Drosophila melanogaster: one gene and its partners. Changing the gene in region 2 together with the main gene of any one other region gives a genetic interaction. Each region holds a gene or a part of one and is shown on either strand. Other genes may lie near its edges.

Region 1 (5,392 bases), on a different chromosome or scaffold from region 2:
ATTGAAAAGCCCCGCAACGAGAAGTCCTTCGATGCCCAAGTGCAAGTGAGTGAAGGCCTCTACAGGATTGGCGGCGGGGTAAATCTGCTAGCAACTAACCCAAAACAAAACCTAACAAACGCGTCTACTAACTTCACACTTAAGAGTAACGGTGACGGAACCCAAGAGCAGCCGCAACTGCCTCTGCAGCCTTTTGCCGTGTCCAACAACCACAGCCTCATACTAAACTCTGTTGAAAACTTTCAGATTGTGCCCAAATCGGTCAGTGAGAAGCAACAGCAGGAGGAGCCGCAACTATCCGGCGGTCCTGTTTCCCCGTTAAGTGCACCCCGCAAGAGCAGCACCCAAGCCTCAGTGGGCAGCGCTTCGGACAAGAAAGCCGGTGATGCCCCCAACGCATCTGTAGCCCCAAAAGTTAGTAGCAGCGGCCTTCCCCCGCTTGCAGTGCCACCAGCGAAGACTGAGCGCAAACTTCCCGAAAACGTGGCTCCCATTCCCGAGAACTTTGAAGACAAAGCGGATACTAAGGGCGACGCTGTCGATGTAGACAACGCCGCCGAAGACCTGCCGAAGAACGAGAACAACAATCGTTACGCCAACGCAGTAAATGATATGGAGGGCAACAAAAATGTAGGCGTAGCTCCCAAACCCATCGAGGATTCGGGCGCTCACGAAGTTAAGGATGCGTTAAACGAGCCTAGCTTTAATTTGCCCGCCGCTGGTGGCGGCCAGAATTTCTTCGATGGCGAATTGCCGGCACCTGGTCCCGGACCCGTTCCCGATGAAACGGCCAAACAGATGGCCGAGGCAGCCGGTGCCGGAGGAGGTGGCGACGGAGATGACGACGACGATGTGGGTGATGTGGCCGTGAAACAGCCACAGCATTTGCTCGATACAGACAATCTAAACAACGAAATCGTTGCTGACCAGGGTAAGGAGTTCGCCGAAGGCATCCACCTGGAAGACGGCATGGATGAAGATCAAGATGGTGAGTGGAAGTGCTCACAAATCGGAATAAATGCTTAACACTTTAACTTAAATTGCAGAGGACGACTATTCCAATGGTGGTGCAGCACGCAAGAAGGGAGGCGAGGTTATTAGACACTAAGTAAGATAATTTTCTATTAATATTGAGCGGCAAGTGTGCAAAGGCTTAGAAACCCCTTTATATTAAAGCCGTGCTCGGTAAGCCATAGATTCTAGGGTTAATCATAACGAAATGTCGCAAATCGATCATTGAAATTTGTACGTTAATTGAAGATTATAAATCAAAATCTATCCTGGCTTGAGCACGCCCTAAGCTATTTAGTTTGTAAGTTAAGTTCAACGTCATGACTACCATCATTTCGTTAATAGCAAATGAAGAACAAGAAATTAAAACTCGCAGGAAATACAATACTCTGAGATGGAGCTACGAACAAATGCAGACAGATTTAAAATGAAGACTGTTTCAGTTCTGCCTTGCAAATTATTAGTCCCGAATTAGCAGTAATCGAAATCGTTGCTAAATCCTTACAAGTTTCATTAACAAATATACTCTATATACTTGGTTTTCTGTGATAAAAATAAACGCTGCGCTGCATTTGGGCAATGTTGCCTGTTTTTTTTGTCGCTGCCTACACGTTTCACTTCTGCATTTGCAATTCCGTCAACCCATTTCGCTAGAGATTAGGTAGCTACATAAGATAGGAGTGTACGCTAGCATTCGAAAACACACACAAACTTTATTGCTAATGATAATAATAAACTTAATTGATAAATGTTAATTTCTCGTATCTATATAAATGAAAATTTATGATGCCATAATTAAATTACGCGGGGAGCCCTAAACTAAAAATGTAATTAAAAGGAATTAACTGAAAATTAAACAAGAATGTGTTCACTGCGTGTGCGCCAGGATCCAAGGATGCACCATCACCTGATCCAGCGGTAGGCGGTGCTGCGGATTAAGGACCAGCAGCTTGGAAATGAGATGGGATGCTGCCTTGGAAATGTGCTCCGGCAGTTTGTAGTCCACCTTGAGAATCTTCTTGTAGGTCTCGTCATAGTTCTTCGAGTAGAAGGGAGCGTGGCCCACTAGCAGCTCAAAGCAGAGCACACCCAGGCTCCATAGATCCACGTTTTTCGTGTGCGGCTTGCCCTGAACCATTTCGGGTGGCAAGTAGTCGACAGTGCCGCACAGTGTCATGCGCATGGAGTTCGGCTCGTGCACGGACCAACCGAAGTCGGCGATCTTCAGGACGCCCTTGTGCCCGAGCAGCAAGTTCTCCGGCTTGATGTCCCTGTGTATGATGTCCCGCTCATGCAGATAGAGCAGCGCCGAGCACAACGCCTGAATATAGGTGGCCGACTGGCGTTCATCGAAACGTTTCATCGGCTGTGCCTGCAAGGCGTTGAAAAGCGTTCCTTGTGGCGCATACTCCAAGATCAGATATATGCGCACGTCGTCGTGAAAGTAGGCATACAGACGCAGGATATGCGGATGACGTAGGTGCGATTGTATCTCGATCTCACGACGCACCTGGTGCTCCACATTGGACTCGCCAATCTGGCGCTTAAAGAGCACTTTTAGGGCCACCACGAACTGGGATTCCTTTTCCCGCGCCAAATAAACGTTGCCAAACTTGCCCCGTCCCAGCAGGCGACCAATATCAAAGTTGTTGAGCTCCCAGGTCTTCTTCGGCTTCTGGGGCTGGGTTTCTGCAGAAAATTACAATTGAGTTTGGTAATTGCAAAAGATTACAGCTGAACCATTAACCCACCAGTCTTGGTTTTCTCTTTTTCAGCGGAGCTGCTGGCCGCACCCAGTTCCTTGGAGGATTCAGAGCTCGCAGCAGTGGGTTTCTGCTTGGAAAGTGACTCAGGCTTCTTGATAGGTGCTACTGGAGCCGGAGCAGCAAACTCTGATGTGGTCTTCTTCACGGACGGCACCATGGGTTTTTGGAAGTTGTTTCCTTCGGAGGAAGCTATGGAATTGGAGCCTCCTAGGCCTGGCTTCCTGATCAAAGCGCCAGAGGATCCTGGCAAGGGTTTGCTAGCTGGAGCCATATTCTCGCTGTTGGGCTGTATCACAATGGTACCAAATAAGAGTTTCAGCTGCACTCCAGAGATTTACCACTTAACGTACCTTCTTTCCCAATAGCAAGTTCTTTTGCATATTGTGCACTGCAGCTGATTTTTCTGGCATTCTGTGCGGAGCATTTTCCTTGGGACGCAGCACATGGTCAGACGGATGGGACATGACGGCACAGGCACTCGACAACTAACAGAACAGATTACAATTTTGGTCAGTTAACAATGAAAGCCGATATTGGGTAAAACATTCACGACTCCCGGGATCCTGTGAAAATAAAATGCCGTTCGTTTGAATTGTGAAGCGGGCGTGTGCGTGATGAGGCGAATGGCAAGTGTGCGATACTATCGGTTGGTTGAAGAATATCGTGACTTTGTAGTGTTAGAAAATGTTATATTGTGTATTATTTCAATTTGAAATCAAGAGAATTATTGAATAGTGCTCTAAACTTTGGCATTTATGTTATTTTAACCTTAATTTCTATCTCTATACAAATACATCTATCAAAGCGTCTTAATTTTGAAAATATGTTAATTCGTCGCACTTTATTTTGATTAACCGGACGATAGACTATCGGAAGATATTTATAAATATCGTTAATTGTGTACATCTCAATTCCAATATTTTTTATTTCTGGTGACTGTGAACCAGAACAGCTGTGATTTTATCGGGCATCTCTGAACATCAGGTGTTATTAACAAGCAAAGTTTTTATTGGAATTCGTCGTTTATGATATGATGCCGAATCATGGACACACCGGAGATCCACGTAAATATAAGCTCGCAGACTTGCCGCGTCTGCCTGGAGACGCACGAGACCAATCTGTATGTCCACGATGAAATCAAATACAACGACCTTAAGTTGGAGCTCTGGCAGTTGTTGGAGGCAGTTTCCAAATTGAAGGTAAAGAGCTACAATTTCAAGAAACTTCGAAAAATAAGTTCAATTATTTCCAGTGGACATGGACGGACCCAAATCTGCCTATGCATCTGTGTCAAAATTGCGCCCGCCGGCTGATCGGCGCCTATGAGTTCATCGTCGAAGTGGAAAACGCCCATGAAACTTTACAGAATCTCTTCGAGCAACAGGAAGTTGCTGCCAAGCCGGATGAAGTTCATGTGGATGTCGTGGAGCTTATAGACCAAGACGATGTGGTCAGTATGGCACAATACCTGTCCACGTCTTTTGCCGAACAGCACGTGGAAATGGAGGAGAAGTATGGAGACCAAGACTGTTCAGCTTTTACTTCAGATGTGGGCGAAGAGCCACTCTATGCGAGCGAGGATCGTGATGATGAGCCTGAAGACTCCTTTCAGCTGAAGCCTCGGCCAGATGAAATAGAAAACAGAGAATTGTCGCGACCTTCCCAGCTGGGCAGTCGTTTGAACCATTCGGCGAACTTCATCTACAAGTGCGCCGTCTGTCCGCGTGTCTTTGCCAAAAGTGAATCTCTGACTCGTCATTTTTCCCAAGCCCACAAACTGACAGCGGACGTGGCCGCCATGAAGCTGGCCAACGAGAGCTGCGGCACCGGTCTGCTAACCTGTGAGCACTGTCCGCGGACATTCAAGCGTCAGGACACACTCCGGCGACACATGCAGGCATTCCATCCCGACGCAATCGCATTGGAACCCGAAGAAACGACGGACAATTCCGCCCGAAAACGCATAGCTAAGCGGCGAGACTGTCCGCACTGTGGCCTGAGCTTTCCCGTATCTAGCCTTACCATCCACATTCGGCGACATACGGGCGATAATCCGTACAAGTGCGATCAATGCGAGAAGGCCTTTCCGCGCAGCCAAGATCTTAGTCTTCACATGCGTCAGCACACCGGCGAGCGTCCCAGTGAGTGCAAGATCTGCTCCAAGAAGTTTATTTCGCAGAACAAGCTGGCGCGACACATGCGATTGCACACGGGTCAAAGGCCGTACTCCTGCAAAATGTGCAGCAAGAGCTTTGTGCAGTCCAACGACCTTAAGATCCATATGCGGCGCCACACGGGCGAGCGACCATATCAGTGTGGAGTGTGCGGCGAGAGCTTTGTGTGCGGTTCGCACCTGAATATCCATCGTAACCGAAAGGGACATCTGATTGCTGTGATTCCGGGCAATGAAGTAGAGGCAAATTTTGCTGCTGATCCTTATGTAAATGCTAGGGTCAACCAGCGCCGTTCGGAGGATATAGAGCGTATGCGCCTGCAACGCATTCCCGAAAACCAATTGCAACAGAGACTGGAAAATCTCCCCAAACCGGATGTCCCGGCTATGTGCTACAAATGCGGTGTCTGCGAACAGAAATTCAAAAGTGGAGCTCTCCTGA
Region 2 (7,591 bases):
AAATTGGACTCGCCGAGAATTTTACTCTCCTCCAACTCGAGGGAAGCTAGAGATCTTAGAATTCGGGGAAACTTCACAGAGAGTACCCTTATCATAGTAAGTGTAATGGATTCAGATCTGAATCCACTGGTTGCCAGTCTTCTGCCACGCTTGTTGGACGAGCTCCATGAGCTGCACATAGTGTTCCTGAGCAATGAGGAACCAGGATTTCCGAAACAGGACCTCTACACCTACTGCTTCAAGGAGGGATTCGTAAATGTAATTCTGATGAGCGGAAAGGGCCTCTACAGCTACCTACCGTATCCTAGCATTCAACCGATCAGCCTATCAAATGTGTCCGAGTATTTCGATCGCGCAAGGATAATTCGAAACTTTCAAGGCTTTCCTGTCCGCATACTTCGAAGCACATTAGCTCCTCGGGACTTTGAGTACTCCAACGAACAGGGTGGCTTGGTGCGAGCAGGATATTTGTTCACAGCGGTCAAGGAGCTGACTTATCGCTATAACGCCACCATCGAGAGTGTACCCATACCCGATCTGCCGGAATATGATGTATACTTGGCCGTTGCTGAAATGCTACATACAAAAAAGATCGACATTGTTTGCTACTTCAAAGATTTCAGCTTGGAAGTGGCCTACACAGCACCACTTTCGATTATCCGCGAGTACTTCATGGCTCCCCACGCCCGTCCGATTTCCAGTTATCTGTACTACTCCAAGCCCTTCGGCTGGACCCTTTGGGCGGTCGTGATTTCGACTGTCTTGTACGGAACCGTAATGCTGCATCTGGCTGCGCGAGGAGCACGAGTCGAGATTGGAAAGTGCTTGCTGTACAGCCTCAGCCACATCCTATACAACTGCCACCAGAAAATCAGAGTTGCTGGCTGGAGGGACGTGGCCATCCATGGCATTCTAACGATCGGAGGCTTTATACTGACCAACGTCTACTTGGCCACGCTCTCCAGCATCCTCACATCCGGGCTGTACGACGAGGAGTACAACACTCTGGAGGATCTGGCCAGGGCTCCCTACCCCAGTCTGCACGACGAGTACTACAGAAGTCAGATGAAGGCGAAAACCTTCCTGCCCGAACGGCTCCGCAGGAACAGCTTGAGCTTGAACGCCACCCTGCTAAAGGCGTACCGGGATGGGCTCAATCAGAGCTACATATACATATTGTACGAGGACCGCCTGGAGCTGATCCTGATGCAGCAGTACCTGCTGAAGACGCCGCGCTTCAACATGATTCGCCAGGCCGTGGGTTTTACCCTCGAATCCTACTGCGTGTCCAACAGTCTGCCGTACTTGGCGATGACCAGTGAGTTCATGAGGCGCCTGCAGGAGCACGGGATCAGCATCAAAATGAAGGCGGACACTTTCCGGGAGCTCATCCATCAGGGAATCTATACCTTGATGCGCGATGATGAGCCGCCGGCTAAGGCATTCGACCTGGACTACTACTTTTTCGCATTTGTTTTGTGAACTGTGGGACTGATTTCGTCTCTTCTCGTTTTTTTCGCGGAACTCGTAAGTGGGCACCTTTAAGGAAGTTGGTTAGCGGGTGGCCCTTATCGGATCGTTTATTTCCTTATAAGGTGCACTTAACAAAAAACGCTTATTATGATAACTTATACAATTATTCAATCTGTCATGATGAGACCACTAATGGCATACCTTAATTAATTCAACTAAATCTCTACCCATTTCAAATCGGCCAGCGGTTTAAATATTTTGGGTATAAAGCAACGCTTACTTAATGTGTACTAATAGCGACTTCGACTCAGACCAAGTCTTCGACTCTTTTTGGGTTGCATGCAAATAGGGGACATGTCCTCCGCATCCTGTCTATTCTTTGTACAGTCCTTGGAGCGATTTAAGTCCCTGTCGGCCAGCGGAGTACTTGTCGAGGAAGGCTTGGGAGCGAATCGCTCCATAGTGGGTAAGGCGCAGGAAGTGGAAGTTTCAGTTGACAAAATGATCTTTCGCTTTCTTTTTAGTGACAGGAGGTTCCGGCGAGCTATTACGGACTTCTTGGTGGCCTGGTCCAGTGGTGATTTGCCGGCAAGTTGCGATAGTGAGGAGTGGATCTCCTGCGACCTTCTGGGTGTCCTCACCAATGGCTGGCTACACAGCGGATGCTCTTCCTTTGCAGAATGCTCCACGAAGAAGTCGTGTTTGAAATGCTCAATATCTGAGGTATTTTTTAGACTTTGTACATTGCAAAAAGTTGGCTTGTTGGCACTGTCTTCTGCCGCCGCTTCATCTACGAACTTGGCATCAATATTTCTCGATTCCTCAGAGATCACAGTTGGTTGGTTCGAGTCAGTGCTTGCATCGGCGGCTTGAAATTCACTCATGAACTGTGCAACTTTGATTTTCGTATTTTCCGAAATCACAATTCCTTTATTTGAAGCGGTACGAAAGCCGAAGAATTCGGTCTCAGATACGGTTTTAGTATTCACAGCCTTATTATTTTCAACATTTATTGAATGAATCTCATTGTTTGGAGAGGTGGGTAGAACATCAGGAAAATCGCTTGGCTGCCACCCGTTTAATTGGTCTGTAGCTTTAGACTGGGCCAGAAACATGGCTCCTCTCTTCTCCATCGCCTCGGTAATCTCAATGGCTTTGTTTGACGCTGTTCTAAAGCCGAAAAACTGTGATTCATTTAAGTCACGGCAAACTGGGTCAAGTGTGGGTTGATGCGGTTCCCGCATTGTAGTATCAACGACCACCAACTTGGAAGCTTTCGATCGCATTTCCTCTGAACTCTCTATTGATCTTTTTAAGGCTGTATCAAGTCCAACAGACGTCGGTTTGTCATTTGGCTGATGGACTAAATAATCATTTTGTTGAATTGTTTCTTTGGATTGAAACTCAGCCATAAACTCTGCAGTTTTGATTTTCATCTTCTCAGAAATCGGAATTGCCTTATTTGAGGCTGTGCGAAAGCCACAAAACTCGGGCTCTGCTATAGTATCGTTATTGAGAGGACTGAATTTTCCATTTATTTCTCCAACGTCAACTTTAGCTATTGCATTGTAGGTTTCCTTACCATCCAATATTTCGATGGGCTTGCTTGGGGCTGATTTGAATTCCGCACACTGTGTTGATTCCATTACTTGACTATGATTATCGGAGTATTCCTCAGTACGTAAGTTGCACTTGTGACTAAAGTGATATAGGCCGGATACAACTTTGTCTACAAACTCTTCGCCTTTAATTTTCATTTCTTCCGAAACCTCGATAAATTTGAAGGACTTCTTTCGAATGCCATTAAGTTGATGACTGCTTATGGTCTGACTTTTATTAGGAGTCTGCTTTTCTGGTTGCTCCTTGTCGTCCAGATTTATTGAATTGATGTTTTCTTTAGGCCCTTGAATTGCGTTTTTGGAGGTTGATGGGCCATTAGAGCACTGCATTGGTTGCCAATCATTAAAAAGAAACTCCTCAAGAAGCTCGCCGTCGTTCAATAGGTTTTCTTGCTCTGCAGCATTAGGCTGATCCAGAATAGTAGTTCCTTCGTTTTTCGTGTTAATATCACAAGATTGTTTTGAGGCTCCTCTAACCTTTGATGCATTTGAATCTTTGCTACTTTTTTGTTCTTTCTGGGAACTTGGCTCCAACTTTAACTTTTTATCGGGTATATGTTTGATTACATCTTTGGAGATCTCGGGCAGTTCCATCGGAGTTAGCCATTCACTTAGTGGTATGCCTTCTAATATGAAGTTTGTGTTCTCCTCTATGTCAACATTTTTTGCTTGCGTTTGGCCCATCAAAAGTTTCTTATTTTCAGCAATTTCGACATCAGCTTTTTTCAATGTAGAGTCTGCATCAGACCAAACATTACGTTTTCCACTTTCTATAAATAAGGGTTTATATTAATGAACTTCGCAACAACATAAATTGCATATGAATTACCCAATCGGAGGCGCGTAGTGGGAACCGATTGCATGCTATCGCCATAAATAGTGTCTGCCATAGTTCCTGGACCTACGTACATATAAAAGGAGTTACAAATGTGTTTCTTGCCATATCGATCCCACTCCCTACCTTCCTGCTCATGCTCATTTTCATAGAAAGAGGCCTCAAATGTAAATCCGCTCTGCAACAGGTCATCCCTCAAGTTCTCCAATTCAGCGTTGAAACACTCGTCACCAGAATCCTGCCTTGCTTCGGTTGGCAGATCTATTTGCGATGGGACAGGAGTCGGACCGGAAGCTGTCGCGGTCGCGGAAAAGTATTGACTGAGGTTCAAAAGGACCTCGTGTATCTTCTGTGATGAAGCATCGAAATCACAAGCCATAGATGTGAACGAAGTATTGAGATCCCTCTGCACGGAGAGGCCTGAGGAACCTCTACGCTTCTCGTTTTGAACGGCCTTGTGGCTTTTGGGATCCCTCTTCCGGCTGTAGGTTCTGATCCTTTTGTTGCGAAATCGAAACCACGGCTCCGACTCATGGCTGGGCTCATCCTCATCCTCTGCGTATGTTGGAGACGAGCAAAAGTCGCTCATGATCATCTCGACCTGGTCCTCGGGCGTGGGCTCTGCGTAGGACAAAATAAGATCCTCCACGGCGACGAAGTCGCTGTTGTCCACCGCAAGCCGCTCGTGACCCCGAGTCCGTCGAGCGATGGCGAAAGTCTGGCGATCGGCTTCGCATATTTTGGCCATTTCGTCGATAATGTTACTCCGATTTGCCGCCGCGGAAACTGTGGCGCCACGTTCGCGCGCATGGGCTCCTCTTCCTTGGGATAGCCTGTTCGGATGACTTCCCGATGCGCCATTCTGGTCCATCACGTCATCTAATTGTTTAAATGTGTTTTATTTGAAGTAAGCAAGTGTCCAATGCTTTTGTGGTTGCATTTCCAAAACAAGGGGTGCAGTGTTGGTAAGCGTTGCTTTGATGGCCATTATCCGCTAACTGTGGAGGGTGGACTTGCTAAGCAATCGGGAGCGAGAAAGTCATCGATGGTATGGCCAAGAACATGAAGGCCTCACGTATCGATGGCAGATGCATCGATGTTTTTTAACATCACTAATCACTAGTAGCGACAGTTTTTGCATAAAATACAATTAAATAATAAAGGGCCATCGCCGAAGCTGCAAAAACCAGGTTTTACACTGCTGCAATTGCTGAAGAGTCTAGTTTAGGTGCCACTCGAAAACAATACCGGAAAGTGTTACGCGAAAGCCCAGCAGAGCCCCAAAGAATCAGCCCAAAAGTGAAAGCCCCCAGAAAAAGTAAAGTACAAAAGAGCGAAAGGAAGAGCCAGAGAGGTAAAGAAAGAGAGAGCGAAGAGCGTTGAAAAGAGTCTGTGCGAGAGAAAAACGATTTTTTCAACTCCGCGAATCCTTGGTCATATTCCGTGTGCAAATCCTGGTAAGTGGGCATTCCGCTGGATTACGACTAGATTGGCCATAACGCAGATTCCCGACATCCCAGGTAAATCGGGAAGTGAAGTGAAATACTAGGACCAGGACAAGAACGCCGTCAAGATTCTCGGGCCCATCTACAGCGGTATCCAGATCCAGAGCCACGGCCACCAGGACGCAGAATCCACCTACAGCACCTACAGCACTCCACTAGCCGCCACCACGCTCCACAAACAGCCAGCAGCCATTATGTTCGTCAACTCCATGACGTTCCGCGGCAATCCGGCGAACTACCACCAGCAGCAGCCGGCCCTGAACCACCACACGCTGGCAGCGGCGCACCACCAGCAGCAGCTGCACCACCACGCCGCTGCAGCTGGTCACCTGAGCCACGTCGGCGGTGGGCACGCAGCCAGTAACCACCTGGCGGCCGCCGCTGTTCTCGGACGGCATGGCCACAACTCCCTGGGCAGCGGGCACACGTCCACGTCCTCGCACTCGGCCAATGTGGGCGTGGGAGTCGGCGGGGGAGCTCTGGCTAGCGGCTCCACTGGGGGCAGCGGAGGCAACAGCTCTCCGGACAGTGGCAAGATCTATATCAAGAACCTGGAGCGGTCCATCGACAACAAGGCGGTGTACGACACGTTCTCGGTGTTCGGAAACATCCTAAACTGCAATGTGGCCAAAGACGAGGATGGCAATTCACGCGGCTATGGGTTTGTGCATTTCGATTCGGAGGAGGCCGCCCGAGCGGCCATCGAGAAGGTGAATGGGATGCTGTGCAATAATCAGAAGGTGCATGTGGTCAAGTTCATACCACGGCGGGACCGGGAGCAGGAGAAGGCCACGCACTTCAAGAATCTGTATGTGAAGAACCTCAGCGAGGAGTTCACCGAGCAGCATTTGCGCGAGATGTTCGAGCCCTACGGCCGCATCACCAGTCACAAGGTACGTTGTTTGGTCACCTCATCTTCCCTACGGGGATGTTCGTGGGGCCGGGTGGTTGGACGACAACCATGTGGCACAGTTTTGCACTCTCTTAAGTCCTCTCTTGCGCCATTGCTGCGCATGCCCATGTAGCCACGAGGAGTTTGTGACGGCGGGGAAGATGAGGACTCCACCTGGCCCATCTGTGCTAATTTGTTTATATCATCGATTTGCTTTCTCCGATCCTTGCAGCTCATGCTGGACGAGGAGGGGCGCTCCCGGCGTTTCGGTTTCGTCGCCTACGAGAACCCACAGTCGGCGCTGGCCGCCGTAATTGGCCTGCACGGCAAGCAGCTGGGCGACAACAAGTTCTTGTACGTGGCAAGAGCCCTCAGCAAGGCCGAGCGGCAGCAGGAGATCAATCGCAAGCTGGAGGAGCGCAAGCGGCAGAAGGCCGGCCAGATATTCTACTACTAAGGCTTCGGCGGCGGCAGCTGATCCAAGGACATCGCTAGGAGTTGACTTGGAACCCACACACATACAATACACACCCATATATAAACCTATATAGATATTTACGAGAAATTGTATCGAGCAGCTAGGCGGACATTCAGGCAGCAGACGGACGGGAGGCAGCTCCTTCGCATATACACTTAGATGTAGGCAAAAGTCTTGCAACACAGTTGAAATTTATAGAAAGAACACAGGGCAGAAACAAAGGGAGGGAGAGGCAGAAAACGAGCTCTCAACCGAAAGGATTTTCTAGGCATTAGGACAACAATTTCTTAGCACTCACTAGCGTTTTTTTGGAATTAGATGTTTGTCTTTACTGTTGAATTTAGTGAGCAGGGGCTTTGCTGTCAGCTTCTCGCCTAAAGAACACATTGCGTACACACACGTATTTCGAAATGTATTTACCCACACAAGGCCAACTTTCACACTGGCCCCTTGGCATTAAGTCTAGATCGTGCGATCGCAACTAGAGCTACGCCCAGCTCAGTCCTGGGCAACATATGAATATTTACACTTACCTAATATATATGTATTAAAACCAAACTAAACCAAGAAACAAAGCAAAACGAAAACAAACAAAAAAAGAACAAAAAACAAAATGGAAAAACGGAAAAAATACAATTGATGTAACCCCTATTAACAAGTGAAGCACCCACTCCACGTATATACATAACATATACATATATCTAATGTAACTCCACACGCTGTAGTTAGAAAGCGTTTATAATACTCACAACTCCCTACGCTATAACTAAACTTTTGACGAGGAAATCA
Region 3 (5,379 bases), on a different chromosome or scaffold from region 2:
GGAGCGCTTCGCCACCGAGAAGATCATGAAGCGGGCCAAGTTCATCGAGGCCATCGATCAGATCGAGAGCGCCTTGCGCGGCGAGGACTCGGCGCCCATTGATTTGCTCGACGGCGCGGAGCCAGTTGCTCCGCCCACAACTGGTGATGGCGTCAAGACGGAGGAGCCCAAGCCGGAGCCGGGACCGGAGCCAGCCACTGCTGCACCAGTCGCAGCAGCGGCCGAGAAGCCCAAGAAGAGCGGCACCCGGAAGACCAAGGCACCACCGCGCCATGTGGACGGGGATAGTGAAGCAGGCGCGGAACTAGCACCTCCGCCGGCCAAGCGAAGGGTTCCCACCGAGGGTCTGGCTACCGCCGCAGCCATCCCCGCTGCTCCGGCTGCGGCGACCCCCACCTCCAGCAAGAAATCAGTGAAGAAATCCAAGCCCACGGCTGCAGTAACTCCGATTCAGAAGCGGTCGCGGCCAGTCAATGTAAGTGCGATGCAGAAATACCACCAGACATAAACTAGTATGAATTACGATACATTGATTTCCATTTTTGCCCAAACAGAACATCCGGAACGAGATGCTCATGGTGTACATGCCCACAGCCAAGTGTTTGGGAATCGTTATAAACTACAAAAAGCCGGAGAGTTTCGAAAGCGCCGCTGCCGAGGAAGCCTGGATGGAGAACGCCCGCAAAGAAGCCTTGGAGCTCAAACTGAAACTAGAGAGCGGCCAAATCAATCCGGAGTCCATGCCCGATAGGATCGTGGTGGAGCCAACACGCAGCGAAATACCCAAGCAGGAGGCTTTGCGATTCATCGAGGAGCTCATTGAGCACGAGGATGCCCTCTTCATGGAGCGAGACTTCATCCAACTTTCCCAGCAGCTGCGCGAATGTTTGGGCCTGCGGCGCGCCAATGTGGGCAAATGCCTGGAGATCCTCGAGCAGTTCAAGGAGGTGGAGTTCACCAAGTTGATGCTGCTGCGCAATCCGGAGTGCGTGGACATAATGCGCCGACTTCGCCGGTATGTGGGCAATCTGGAGCTCTGGAAAATGGACCTGTCCGACGAGGTGGAGTTCAAGGAGAGGGCGCAGACCATACGCAAGGTCTCCTCTGGCATATACGATGGCTTCAAGAGTCTCTTCAATCCGGAGCCCGAGAGCGAGGACAACTTTTGGATCGACTTCTGCGAAAAGGTAAAAATCTACAAGACCTATACGAAAAATATCAACGAAAACCTTCGCGTCGGGATGAACGAGCGCGGATATAATAGCCTGGTTTTGGCCAAGGAGGCCGCCGCTTCAGCCGGATCGGCTCCACAGTAAATGATCGAGGACCAGTTCTGCTGGACCAATTACATGATAAGGTAGGATGGGAAACCGCAAACCGCTGAGTTGAAACACATCTTCAAGAATCCTCTTTCTTGCAGTTACTCGTAAGCGTTACAAACCAGGCAACTTAAAGACCGTGCTTTGGATGACAAAGTTTTGATGAGCCAAGTGGGCTATGCTTAATTCTAGGTTAAAAATTCAGCTAAATTCCTTAATTCTGTTTGCCTGCCAGGTGCATGTCGTGTTACGCTGCGCTGATGGGGCTTTTCCTGCTGCATCCGCTTATTACCAGACTAAAAAAAAGGTTTTTGCTTCGAAACCCCTAAATATTTTCTAAGTTTGTAGATGATTTGAATAATATTGAATTAAATATAGATGGTACATACAATTCGCAACGGCTGTTTTATTTCGTCGTTATCCTAAACATTCTAAGTAAACATTAAAACAAAAAAAAAAACAATCTACGAAGTTTAATTCTTAGTCTAGGGATAAGTAATCATTAGAAAGTTAGGGAGCTCTATTCCTAGCATTAATTAACCTATAAGTGAGCACAATTAGCTCTCCCTGGCGTCTCCTATTCCATCCGGCAGAATGGCGAACATGGCCTCCGATTCCGGCAAACAGGGCGAGTCGTAGATCTTGCAGATGCGGGTTTCGCCTTTACCCTTGCGCAGATACAGCCGCGTGGTTGAGGAGTGGGCCATGATGTGCCCGCCAATGGGCTTCTTGGCATCAAACATGCCGGGTGCGCCGTCCAGCGAGGCAGTAACCTGGTTAGTAATTACCACAGCCACTCCGAACTCATCGGCCAGGCGTTGAAGCATGCGCAGAAATAAGCCCAAATGGTTTTGCCTGGCGGCCAGCTCCCCGCGACCAATATAATCGGATCTGTAGAGCGCCATGGCACTGTCCACAATCAGCAAAGCGTATCTGGACTCAAAGAGCATGCCCGCCGCCATCTGGATGAGCTTGGTCTGCTGATCTGAGTTGTGGGCACGGGTGAAGGCCACATTGTCCAGCACCTCGGATTCATTCAGTTTGTACCTTTGCGCGATGGCAGCCAAACGCTCCGGACGGAAGGTGTTCTCCGTGTCGATGTACATGCACTTGCCCTCGCCGCCCTTCTGGCTGATGGGCAGCTGGCAGGTTACTGCCAGAGTGTGGCACAATTGGGTCTTTCCGCAGCGGAACTCGCCAAAGATCTCGGTAATGGATCCCGTCTCAATGCCGCCGCCCAGCAGTTTATCCAGCTCCTTGGAGCCCGTGCTCAGCTGCACGACATCGGCACGCATTTGATAGAAGGTGCGAGCACTAAGGAAGCCCAGAGGCACCAGTTTGTTAGCCTCCGTGATGATCTGCTCCACCTTGCCGCCGCCCAAGCCGGGAATGGCCATCAGTTGCTTCTTGGTGGCATTGGCCACCGACTCCACGGTGTGCAGACTGGCCTGCTGGAGCAGCTTGATGTCCTTGGCCGTGATGCTGCCGCCCTAGGAGGAGGATATCGTAGGGAATGCCCATAATAATCCTGGTCGAGATCGCAGCCTACTCACTATTAACTTAGTCACGCTGAGTGGACCTTCTTCCTCCTCCTCTTCCTGCTGTGCCTGAACATTCGTTAGCTTCTCCATTTGACAGTTTCGAAGTTAAATTTGACTATTTGTTGTTTCGAGTTTCGTTATTTAAATTGCACGTCTTGCGTGAGAGAATTTCGACAAAGACTGCGCGGCGCGCAATTCACTGCAAAATCAGTTTGCCAATCGCCCCGAACGCACAAAACTCTATCACTACAGAGGATCCCGCTTAAAAGGAACGCGCAAGATCACCATGGCGAACTATTACTATTTCGACATCAAACTGTGAGTAGAATGATGTTCTGCGGTCATTAATATAAACTTGGTTGTTATTAAATTCAGTAAATATATTCATTTATTTAATAGTAAACTTCGGGATCCGACTGCAGTTGCTTTGACCCCATCTCTGTTTCGAAGCTGCGTTCTTGACGCCCTGGACAGTTTCTTCTGCGAGGAGAAACCCACACTGGAGATCGTGAAGTTCTGCGCCCAGCAACATCGTGTTATCTTTCGAGTGCCAGAGCAACTGCACGACATGACCCGCATATCCATTGAGCTCATCGGTCACTACCAGCAGATACCCTGTCATTTTGAGATCTTGGAAACATCCAAATCATCGCTGGACTTTGAGAAGAGCATTGAAAAGACTGTCGCGGTTGTGTCCGATGATTAGGACTAGCGAATTGTAATACTCAGTGTAATATACATTATAACCGTCATGAAGAATTTGAATTTGAATCCTAACTGATTTTACTGTGATCTGATTTTTTTGTCATTCACAACGAACTGAAATGATTTCTGTGATGGCTACTAAATGAGATTAAAAAGCGGAAAAACCCCATAAACTTGTAACCATTTTAATAAAATTGCATTTAAGTAGTTCCAATAACAATTTAAATGTTTTAATAAATGGCTATAATTTTAGCTATTTTATAACTACTCATGTCCGTTGTGAGCCGAGCTGGCATCTCTGGCGGCGCACAGCTGTTTGAGAAGCAGAAAGAAACAGCAAAAAAGGGGAGTAATTACATAAAAAAAACACACTGACCGGCAACTTTTGGACGACTTTTCCCGAAGATTCCGCCAAAAAAAGAGGGGCACTGGCACTTGCACCCAAAGCATGAGTGGTTACCAATATCTGGACGTGAAGATGTGAGTTCCGGGCACTCAGCCCCGCTCCTTAAAGCCCCGTATTTCCCACGTGCGCACGTGCATCATGCAAATATAATTAAGATAATTCACGTTTTTAATCGCCAGAAAACTCCGTGATCCAGACTCCGTGACTCTGACGCCCGTATTCTTCTGTGGCTGCATCCATAGCTCCTTGGCTAGTATTTTTGGCGAAATAGGTGGCCAGACCATACTGGAAATTGTGAAATTTAGTTCCAGCCAAAAACGCTCCATTCTCCGGGTGCCCGAGAACGTCCTGGATCGCGTTCGCGTAGCTATAGCCCTAATAGGATACTACCAGGAGGTGCCCTGCCATTTTCAGGTGCTCAGCACATCCCGAAAGCCCTTGGATTTTGAGGAATCCCCCGAGGAGTTTGTAGCATTTAACTAGCATTACCGCATCAGGATGTCATTCTCTTACTGCAAGGAGTACGGCAAGGACAAGGTGATTTTTGTGACCAAGGAGGACCATGCCACGCCCAGCACCATCGAGCTGCCGCCGCCGGAAAAGCCGGAGGGCGTGATCACCAAGGACGGCAAGATCAACTGGAGTTGTCCCTGCCTCGGCGGCATGGCCACCGGTCCCTGTGGCGTCGATTTCCGTGAGGCATTTTCCTGCTTCCAGAACAGCACCGCCGATCCCAAGGGATCGGACTGCTACGATGCCTTCACCAAGATGCGCGACTGTTTCCAGAAGTACCCCACCGTGTACAACAAATCTGGCGGTGATGACGACGACGATGATGGCTTGAGCGAGGCCTTGGACACGGATGCCGGTTCAGTTGGTGGCCAGAACGCGGATCCGCTGGCGGATGTGGGCAACAACGGAGGCGGCGATGAGCTGGTGTCCCCCAATAGCAGTTCAGTGGTGCCCAAGGCTTAGGTGGGAGTACATAAGATAAGAGCTAGGTGTGACTTCGTACAAAATAAATAAAACTTGTCATTAACTTCAATCCATCCCCACACTATCGATCGTGACTGGGAAACATTTATCAGCCAGATAGTCTGGAATTAACAGAGATATTGTTGAAACAGCATAGTGCTTATTTCAGAAATAAAAGATACTCGTTTTCTCAATTAAATTCTCGCTTTTTTTACAAATAGCGAAATACACAAATAAAAAAATGTAAATGTATCTTGTATTCACTGTAGCCAATAGGCCGTTATTTCCATATGTTGTGTATTTCTGGTATATACTCGAAGCGCTCCCACCTCGTTGGCAGTATTTTTCCACCCTGCTGCCACACTGTTTACGAAGCAGCAATCAAAGAAAACGGAAAAATAAAAGCGTATTAAGATTTCGTGTGGAAAGGAAA

Evidence for each region. A genetic interaction does not mean that the proteins touch.
Region 1: of Brca2 (region 2) and aurA, changing one enhances a phenotype caused by changing the other (phenotypic enhancement), as found in Drosophila melanogaster (one study listed by BioGRID).
Region 3: of Brca2 (region 2) and spn-A, changing one suppresses a phenotype caused by changing the other (phenotypic suppression), as found in Drosophila melanogaster (one study listed by BioGRID).

The regions. Positions count from the first base shown.
Region 1 is NT_033777.3:11,961,141-11,966,532, reverse strand, and holds aurA (aurora A), read right to left. Parts: upstream 3,410-5,392; 5' UTR 3,242-3,409; coding exon 3,128-3,241; intron 3,064-3,127; coding exon 2,763-3,063; intron 2,701-2,762; coding exon 1,880-2,700; 3' UTR 1,707-1,879; downstream 1-1,706. Other genes in the region: CG12213 (uncharacterized protein), read left to right, coding at 1-988, 1,047-1,108; CG3281 (uncharacterized protein), read left to right, coding at 3,821-3,976, 4,030-5,392.
Region 2 is NT_033778.4:24,523,508-24,531,098, reverse strand, and holds Brca2 (BRCA2, DNA repair associated), read right to left. Parts: upstream 4,928-7,591; 5' UTR 4,799-4,927; coding exon 4,054-4,798; intron 3,994-4,053; coding exon 3,922-3,993; intron 3,863-3,921; coding exon 1,764-3,862; 3' UTR 1,546-1,763; downstream 1-1,545. Other genes in the region: CG4612 (uncharacterized protein), read left to right, coding at 5,627-6,325, 6,557-6,781. UniProt on the Drosophila melanogaster protein: Involved in and required for double-strand break repair by meiotic and mitotic homologous recombination. During meiosis, has a dual role in the repair of meiotic double-stranded breaks and the efficient activation of the meiotic recombination checkpoint.
Region 3 is NT_033777.3:30,052,990-30,058,368, forward strand, and holds spn-A (spindle A), read right to left. Parts: upstream 3,049-5,379; 5' UTR 2,951-3,048; coding exon 2,873-2,950; exon of another isoform or gene 2,810-2,872; coding exon 1,877-2,809; 3' UTR 1,707-1,876; downstream 1-1,706. Other genes in the region: Jasper (JIL-1 anchoring and stabilizing protein), read left to right, coding at 1-475, 555-1,316; Rpp14b (ribonuclease P/MRP subunit p14 b), read left to right, coding at 3,147-3,178, 3,260-3,566; Rpp14a (ribonuclease P/MRP subunit p14 a), read left to right, coding at 4,014-4,045, 4,151-4,454; CG7950 (uncharacterized protein), read left to right, coding at 4,470-4,946. UniProt on the Drosophila melanogaster protein: Plays an important role in homologous strand exchange, a key step in DNA repair through homologous recombination (HR). Binds to single and double-stranded DNA and exhibits DNA-dependent ATPase activity. Underwinds duplex DNA.